2 linked regions of the Xenopus tropicalis genome follow. The protein of the gene in region 2 purifies or fractionates together with the protein of the main gene of each other region. This does not show direct contact. Links are inferred from orthologs where the notes say so. Each region holds a gene or a part of one and is shown on either strand. Other genes may lie near its edges. The genes, in order: glycerol-3-phosphate acyltransferase 3 and slc6a15.

What was found.
Region 1: the proteins of slc6a15 (region 2) and glycerol-3-phosphate acyltransferase 3 purify together in Homo sapiens (co-immunoprecipitation; 3 studies listed by BioGRID and IntAct, counting the BioPlex papers as one, with this or other methods). This does not show direct contact. The link is inferred for Xenopus tropicalis from reciprocal best matches to the Homo sapiens genes SLC6A15 and GPAT3.

The regions. Positions count from the first base shown.
Region 1 is NC_030677.2:85,544,642-85,548,468, reverse strand, and holds part of glycerol-3-phosphate acyltransferase 3, read right to left. Parts: intron 783-3,827; coding exon 488-782; intron 1-487. UniProt on the Homo sapiens protein: Converts glycerol-3-phosphate to 1-acyl-sn-glycerol-3-phosphate (lysophosphatidic acid or LPA) by incorporating an acyl moiety at the sn-1 position of the glycerol backbone.
Region 2 is NC_030679.2:53,629,764-53,633,590, reverse strand, and holds part of slc6a15 (sodium-dependent neutral amino acid transporter B(0)AT2), read left to right. Parts: intron 1-848; coding exon 849-1,090; intron 1,091-1,168; coding exon 1,169-1,361; intron 1,362-2,611; coding exon 2,612-2,804; intron 2,805-3,267; coding exon 3,268-3,427; intron 3,428-3,776; coding exon 3,777-3,827.

The sequences.
Region 1 (3,827 bases), on a different chromosome or scaffold from region 2:
AGGCAGCATAGGACAGGCAGAGTATGGTACACACAGGCAGCATAGGACAGGCAGAGTGCTGCCTGTGTGTGCCATACTCTGCCTACCCTATGCTGCCTGTGGGAGGTGAACCTGGCAGGGGTTTGTTCTGGGAGTTTGTTAGCAGTTGGAAATAGCAATTAAATGGTCCCTAAGGTGTGTAATTATATGCTGGGGGTTGCTGTGCTATCCACAGGGGAGGAGAAGGCATATGGATTTAAGTGTTTGTCTTAATATGACATAATATAATTCTTTAACATATGAATGATGGTTGATATCCCTGCAGCGACCATTGTGATAAAATGGGTGTGGTTTGAAGTGGGTGTGGTTTAAAATGGGGGAGTGGCCAAACTGGCTTCCATTAGCGGCCCGAGAGAAATTCCGGCCCTCGGCACCGCAGAAGTTGGACAGCACTGTGCTACATGCATATAGGAGTTTACCAAACCTGGTCTAACTTTCACAATCTTACCGTAAAGGCAGAAGAATACAGTAGCGCACAAATAATCCCAGCACCCAGATGAGTGTGACTCGGAGACTGACATAGTGAAAGTTGTTGTTGGTCCTAGTAAGAAGGTTCCAAGAGATGAGTTCTTCTGAGGAAAACCTGTGAGTGACCTCATCTTCAACAATAGCTTCAAATCCCTTCTTTGCAAAATAGAAGACATCCCCAAGTTCAAAGTCTCCTTGCTGTATGTCCTGACTCCTACTTTTTCTCAAGCCTCCAATCTCTGTCTCCATTGGGGACTGATCTCTCTGTATAATACCTTGGTAGGCAGAAACAAAAAGGAGGATGTATTTCCATTGTTGCATTTGCTTACATATCTTAAAGGCTTATAGCAAATTTATCTCATTATATAGACTAGAGAGCTCATTTGCACACTGCAAAGGATATATCAAATGAACCCTTATATGTTTGTTGGTGATAGTTCATCAGATGTAATATTTTAGGGATGTTACATTTTCTGTATCTGAAGATATACATAAAGTATAATTCTAGAAAAAAGGGGCCTACAAGAGTTCCCTTAATAATGCACCTTTCCATTCACATACAAATCAGAACCATGTGATTAGAACAGTTAGTTAAAACTTAACATTTATTAATAAATTTAAAAACCAATGAATCATAAAATGACACAATATAACATATAAGGCTTCAAAGGATAAATGTGAATTATCAGAGCAATCAAAAGAGGATTATATAGTTAAAGGGGTGGCTCACCTTTAAATTAATTTTAAATTAACTTTTAGTAATGTTCTGTTCCTAGCAATTTTGAATTTTCTGTTCCTAGCAATTCTGTAACTGGTCTTCTTTGTTTTTTATAGTTTTTGAATTATTTCCCTTCCACTTCTACATCTGCCCCTGATAGCCAAAAATGATTGTTACTTTTAATTGCTCATCTTTCTAGTCAGGCCCTCTCCTATTCATATTCCAGTCTCTCATTTAAACCACTGGCTGGTTGCTAAGGTAAACCAGGCCCTAGCAACCAGACAGCTGCTGAAATTACAAACTGGAGAGCTGATAAACAAAAAGCTAAATACCAGAAAAAAAACACACACAAAAAATAAAAACCAATTGCAGATTGTCTCAGAAAACTTTATTATATTAAAAAGTTAATTTAGATTCACCAACTGATCCATCAATAGAAGGTCCATTGACTGCAATACATATTACTACAAAAGGATTATATGAATTTAGGGTAAAAGCTGTTTTTTACATTTTCTTACTGCAAGATTCCCCTCCATGCTTGCCCAATGGTGTTAATCTGCAAACTAGCAATAATTGTATTACAATACAGTATACCTTTTTATATCACCAGTTTAATGATAAAGTCATATAGCTGAACATATTTGTTTCATAATATAAAAAATAGGTAAAACCTGTGTTTTTTTTGTTATTTAAAGCTCTAAACAGGGCTCTAAACATTTTAAAAATAAACATAAAGACTATTCCATTTCCTAAATGGGAAGGTGCATTACCCATGGGCTTCCTAAGGGAATTTTTGTAGGTTCCCTTTACTATTAACTACTCTAAAATGATTCACAAATTCTTTCATTGCTCAGTTTAAGGTGCTTTTGACTTTTTATTAAGTGCTACATTTTAAGTATAATTCTGATAAGGTAAAGGGAAATGAAAACTAGAAATATACATATATATATAGTTTGATTTTTTTTTTAATCAAAAAATAATGCCCTCAGAATTTCTATAGAAAATCCAGTGACAGAGCTGGGGGGTGTGGGGAGTTGGTGGTTGGTGGCTTCGGGGAAGTGATGGCACACATACGCTGCGCTTGATGTCAGCACATGTGACGTCAAGCACCCCGTGCCGGTGATATCGCACACAATGTAGGAGCGTAATTAGCTCTGGTGCCTATGTCAGCACAGTACCTAAATACACCCCTGACCTTCCCAAGCTACACACTACCTTAGGGTAACACATAGTGAGGACAGAAAAGTGAAACAGCTGCTGCACAGTGGGGAGAGCACATTAGGAGCTACACTGCAAGCACAGGCAATATTCAAATTCAGACACAGCTACAGAAAGTTGGTGGTCGCGAAAGCTACACTAGGGGGCACATTTACTAACCCACGAACGGGCCGAATGCGTCCGATTGCGTTTTTTTCGTAATGATCGGTAATTTTGCGATTTTTTTCAGCGTCTTTACGAATTTTGCGTAAAAACGCGAGTTTTTCGGCGTCTTTACGATTTTTGCGTAAAAACGCGAGTTTTTCGTAGCCATTACGAAAGTTGTGCAAAGTCGCAATTTTTTCGTAGCGTTAAAACTTGCGTGAAACGTCGCGCCTTTTAAGTTTTAACGCTACGAAAAAGGTGCGACTTTGCGCACAAGTGTTAACGCTACGAAAAAATCGCGACTTTGCGCAACTTTCATAAAGACGCCGAAAAACTCACGTTTTACGCAAAAATCGTAAAGACGCCGGAAAACTCGCGTTTTTACGCAAAATCGGAAAGACGCCGAAAAACACGCGTTTTTACGCAAAAATCGGAAAGACGCCGAAAAAATCGCAAAAAATACGAAAAGGTCGCAAAATGTTCGTTTCCAATCGGAATTTTTCCAATTCGGATTCGAAATCATGTCTTAGTAAATCAGCCCCTAGGACTAGAGAAGAACCCTTTGATAATTTTCAGCAAACACATTGCATGTTTAGTTGTACTGCATTATCACCATCAGACCAGGCACCAAGGACAACTGTTTACTGAGGGTGCCATTTGTGCAGCTGGATTTTGGATAGTGTTAGTGAAGAAACTTATAAAGGTGCCCATACACGTGAAGATTCGCTCGCTTACACGGGTGGGCTTACACGGGTGGGCGATATCGGGGAACATGTAGGCCCCAGGGCCAAACGATCGAATTATAATGGCAGCAATGGGGCAGTTGGTTTGGGGACCGCATCAACGAGCCGATGCAGTCCCCGATCCGACTAAATCTTTTAACCTGCCCGATCGATATCTGGCCAATTTCAGGCCAGATATCGGTCGGGCATGCCCCTTGTTCCTGCCCCTACACGGGCTGATAAGCTGCCGAATCAGTCCAAGGGACCGATATTGGCAGCTACAATTGGCCTAAGTATGGCCACCTTAAGTAGTGTTACCTTGTGTCACTTGCAGAAGATGATACTGTAAACAAAGCTTTTCGCTGATTTTTCAGAATTTTCATATATTTTTATAAAAAAATGCTTTATTTAGAAAAGCATTGCAGTTTGGTATTTTGCACCAATATTTAGCTTCCTGGCATTGCAATTTGTAGAGTGATTTTGCCTGGCATTTTTGATCTATAGTAACATACATAGTA
Region 2 (3,827 bases):
GCATATCAGTTCAGGAGAAGCAATTTACATTAAATCTTGGAAACAAGTCATGGACTAAAATGGTCCATTGTGCCATTTTGGTAAGGGCCCTAATGTCTTAGACAAGAATGTTTTAAAGTCACAAAACAATGCTAAATACAGACAGCAAGAGCAAGTGGCATTTAAGGGAAAAAGTATCAAAGTTGTGGCAAAATGTGTATATGTAAAAGGATAAAGATGCATGAAACAGACATTCTTAAATTACTTATTTTCTTAAATGTACATTTACATTATTCTATTTCACCTATCAAAAGTTTATAGGCAGCACGGTGAACAGAAGTTCTAAGGCAAAAAAAGCCTAAACCTAAACTATTCCTAAAGAATAGTGCAGTTCTATTTAGACCTCAAACACCTTGAAGAACCAGAAAGAATTGAGAAATGTGCTACCCAAGGTTGGAGTGTTCCCTATTGGAGCAGGGGGTAACCCATCTATTTTAATAGTCATTTGCTCCTTCTAATAACTAATAAATAGTTTTAGTAAAATATCTGGTGCAGGGTTTTGCTGTAAAGTGGTAGTAGAAGTGATGATGCTCAGTTTGGAGACCATAGTAGTCATGGTGCTTGCCATAGTAGTCATGGGATGCATATGCCAGCACTGTGCAGGGAATATTATATTTAGAGATGGGTTTCATCAGAACTTGGAATGTACTTTAAATTTATGAAGTAAGCTAGTAAAGCTCCCTTGTTGGACGGAGGGACCTGAAAAGTCAGTTACCAGTCATATACTGGAATCAATTTTATTGAGAAAATTTGTTGAAAAAGTAAAAGTTGCTGACGAGTTGAGATTAAGTTTGTATATTTGGTTTCAGCTTGAAATAATGCTTGAGCCCAAAGTCTGGCGAGAAGCTGCCACTCAGGTGTTCTTTGCGCTTGGCCTGGGATTCGGAGGAGTCATTGCCTTTTCAAGCTACAACAAAAGGGACAACAACTGTCATTTTGATGCTGTCCTGGTGTCCTTTATTAACTTTTTCACCTCTGTCCTGGCAACACTAGTGGTGTTTGCCGTGTTAGGATTCAAGGCAAATATTATGAACGAGAACTGCATTTCCAAGTAAGATGCTAATACTTTTTTCTTGTGTTAAGGAACGTTCCCCGCAAAGCCACTAATTACTGATTTGCTTTGTTTCAGAAACACAGTCAAGATTGTGAAATATTTAGAAGCTGGCAATCTCAGCTGGAGTAATGTTCCACATCATGTCAATTTCTCAAGTATGTCAGCACAGGACTATAACCTGGTCTATTACATATTTCAGAAAATAAAAGAAGAAGAATTTGACAGCCTAGGGCTGGACTCCTGTCAGATAGAAGATGAGCTTAACAAGGTAACCTTCACATTTTCATTACAGTACAGGAAACAGCAGCACTAATTTGCCTGCTTGTGCCAAGCATTTGGCCCTCTTGCGCTAAGGTAACAAGGCTGGTTACAGCGAGAGTCTTACTTTGTTCTCTAGCTAGTGCTACAAAACAGAGTGGTGCAAAATCACCCCTTAGTGCTGTATTTGCATCTTGCACTAAATCTGCTGTGTCTTGTGTCTGTTATTGCTTCCTAACTTGTGTGTGTCTGAATGACTTGCAAAATAGGGGTGTCTAGCCTAGCCTAGCCTGCCTCTTATGAATAGAGCACTGGCAATCACAGCAGTAGGTTTTCAGGAGAAGCACCATATTAACCATATTAAATTTGTTCTATAGAGTAAAATGTTGCTATGGTTGTAATGTAGTTCTAGTCAACCAATGCAAATGTACCGGTTTGTTTAAATGCAGTTATTTTATTACTGAAACAGCCACCACAATGATTCATTTGTTTCAAATAAGCAGTGGGTTTTGAGTGTTGTTATAGTATCAGATTCTCTTTTATGTGCAACCATCACAACTGATTGCATGAAGGAGAAGTTTGGATTTTTCCAAGATATAATTCATTTAATTCACATTAGTGCTAAGGTGTTTGCAGTTTCAAAGTCACTTTAACCTCTACACCCAGATACCAGCCAGTATAGATGACTGTGTGGTCTCAGGCCAGAAGAAATAGGCTGCCTCTTATATATGCCATAGACAGTCACTATTTAGTGGGCTGGTGGGTAGTAATGAGTAAATCTGTCCCTGAAAAATTCATGAAACGAATTTGTTGCACGATTTTTTGTCGCCCGTGTCTTTTTTGACGCCTGCATCTTTATTTTGTCGCCAAGCTTTTTTTTTTTACACGACCGCACCCAATTTGACGCGCAACTAATTTTTCCACTGGGAATTTTCACGGAAGTTATGCAAAACAATTCGCCAATGCCGAAATTTGCTGTGAATCCATGCCTGGTGGAAAAATTTGCTCATCACTACTGGTGGGGGCTGTATGAGCCTCTGTGTACATAAAATACCAGGGCCTATTTTGTATCCCAGTGCAGACCATATTTGTAGGTGTTAAAAGGAATGGGTAACAACTACATGAGTCAATCAGGGACTTAAAATACTGTAATTTATATTTATTAGTCAAAAGGAAAATTGTCATAAATTAAGAAAATGAACATTATTGCGTGAGTATTTTTGGGTGTTAACACACTTTTAATTTCTCCTTGTCTTTCAGTCAGTCCAAGGGACTGGGTTGGCTTTTATTGCCTTCACTGAAGCTATGACACATTTTCCTGCTTCTCCTTTTTGGTCAGTGATGTTTTTTCTCATGTTAGTGAACTTGGGCCTTGGCAGCATGTTTGGAACTATTGAAGGCATTATAACTCCCATTGTTGATACATTTAAAGTACGGAAGGAACCACTCACTGGTAAGCTCGTATTATAAATTGTTAACGCGTTATATTTGCATAGTGTTGTATCTTAGGACATAGGCTGTGTTTTGTAAGAAGACACTGAGTTATTTAGCTATTTATGTACCCATATTAATTCAATTATATCATATTTTTCCATTTAACAACAATTAGAGAAACATTAAAGCCATCTTTTTTTGCCATGCAACAAATCCTGAATAGTGAACCATCTATAACTAGTATATTCATATTAAAGGAAAATTCCAGCAAAAAATATTAAAAAAATGTTGTCTCCTATTATCTAGGGCTTTAAAAGCACCTGATATTTAGGGTTTGGTACTCAAATTCTAAAGATTTAGTCCAGAACCCAATCCTTGGGATTCGGTACTTCCCTAAATGAACAGGGATAAGCAAACTACTGCAAAATACGTTATAAAAAAAATGTTTTTTTTGTTTTGTCTTTTTCTTTTTTTTATTCCAGTTGGATGCTGCCTGCTTGCATTCTGCATTGGCCTACTCTTTGTACAGAGGTCAGGAAATTACTTTGTTACGATGTTTGATGACTATTCTGCTACATTACCACTGCTGATTGTGGTCATTTTAGAGAATGTTGCAATTGCTTGGGTATATGGCATAGACAAGTAAGTACTGGGAATTTTATTCAACTCACCTTTCTAATTGTCTAAACTAGTTCTTTTTAACAGATGATTTCAGAGGACATTATTGACAGCTTGACATACAAAGCTTTATAAAGATGCCATTTTACACCTAGTTTTTACTACCATTCCATTTACATGACTTAACAAATAGGCCCATTAGTATCACATTCCTTACCATTTTATGTAGCCCTAACTCCTTTAATACATTTTAATTTAGATGTATATTTAATGAATAATGGGCCTTAATGATCAAGTGGTCATACTGACTGAATAATCTAGCAAAGCCCAGACAACTACTTTATATCAGTGTCTTTACTTCATTCTCTTTCAGATTCATGGATGATTTAAAGGACATGCTAGGTTTTACCCCATACAAATACTA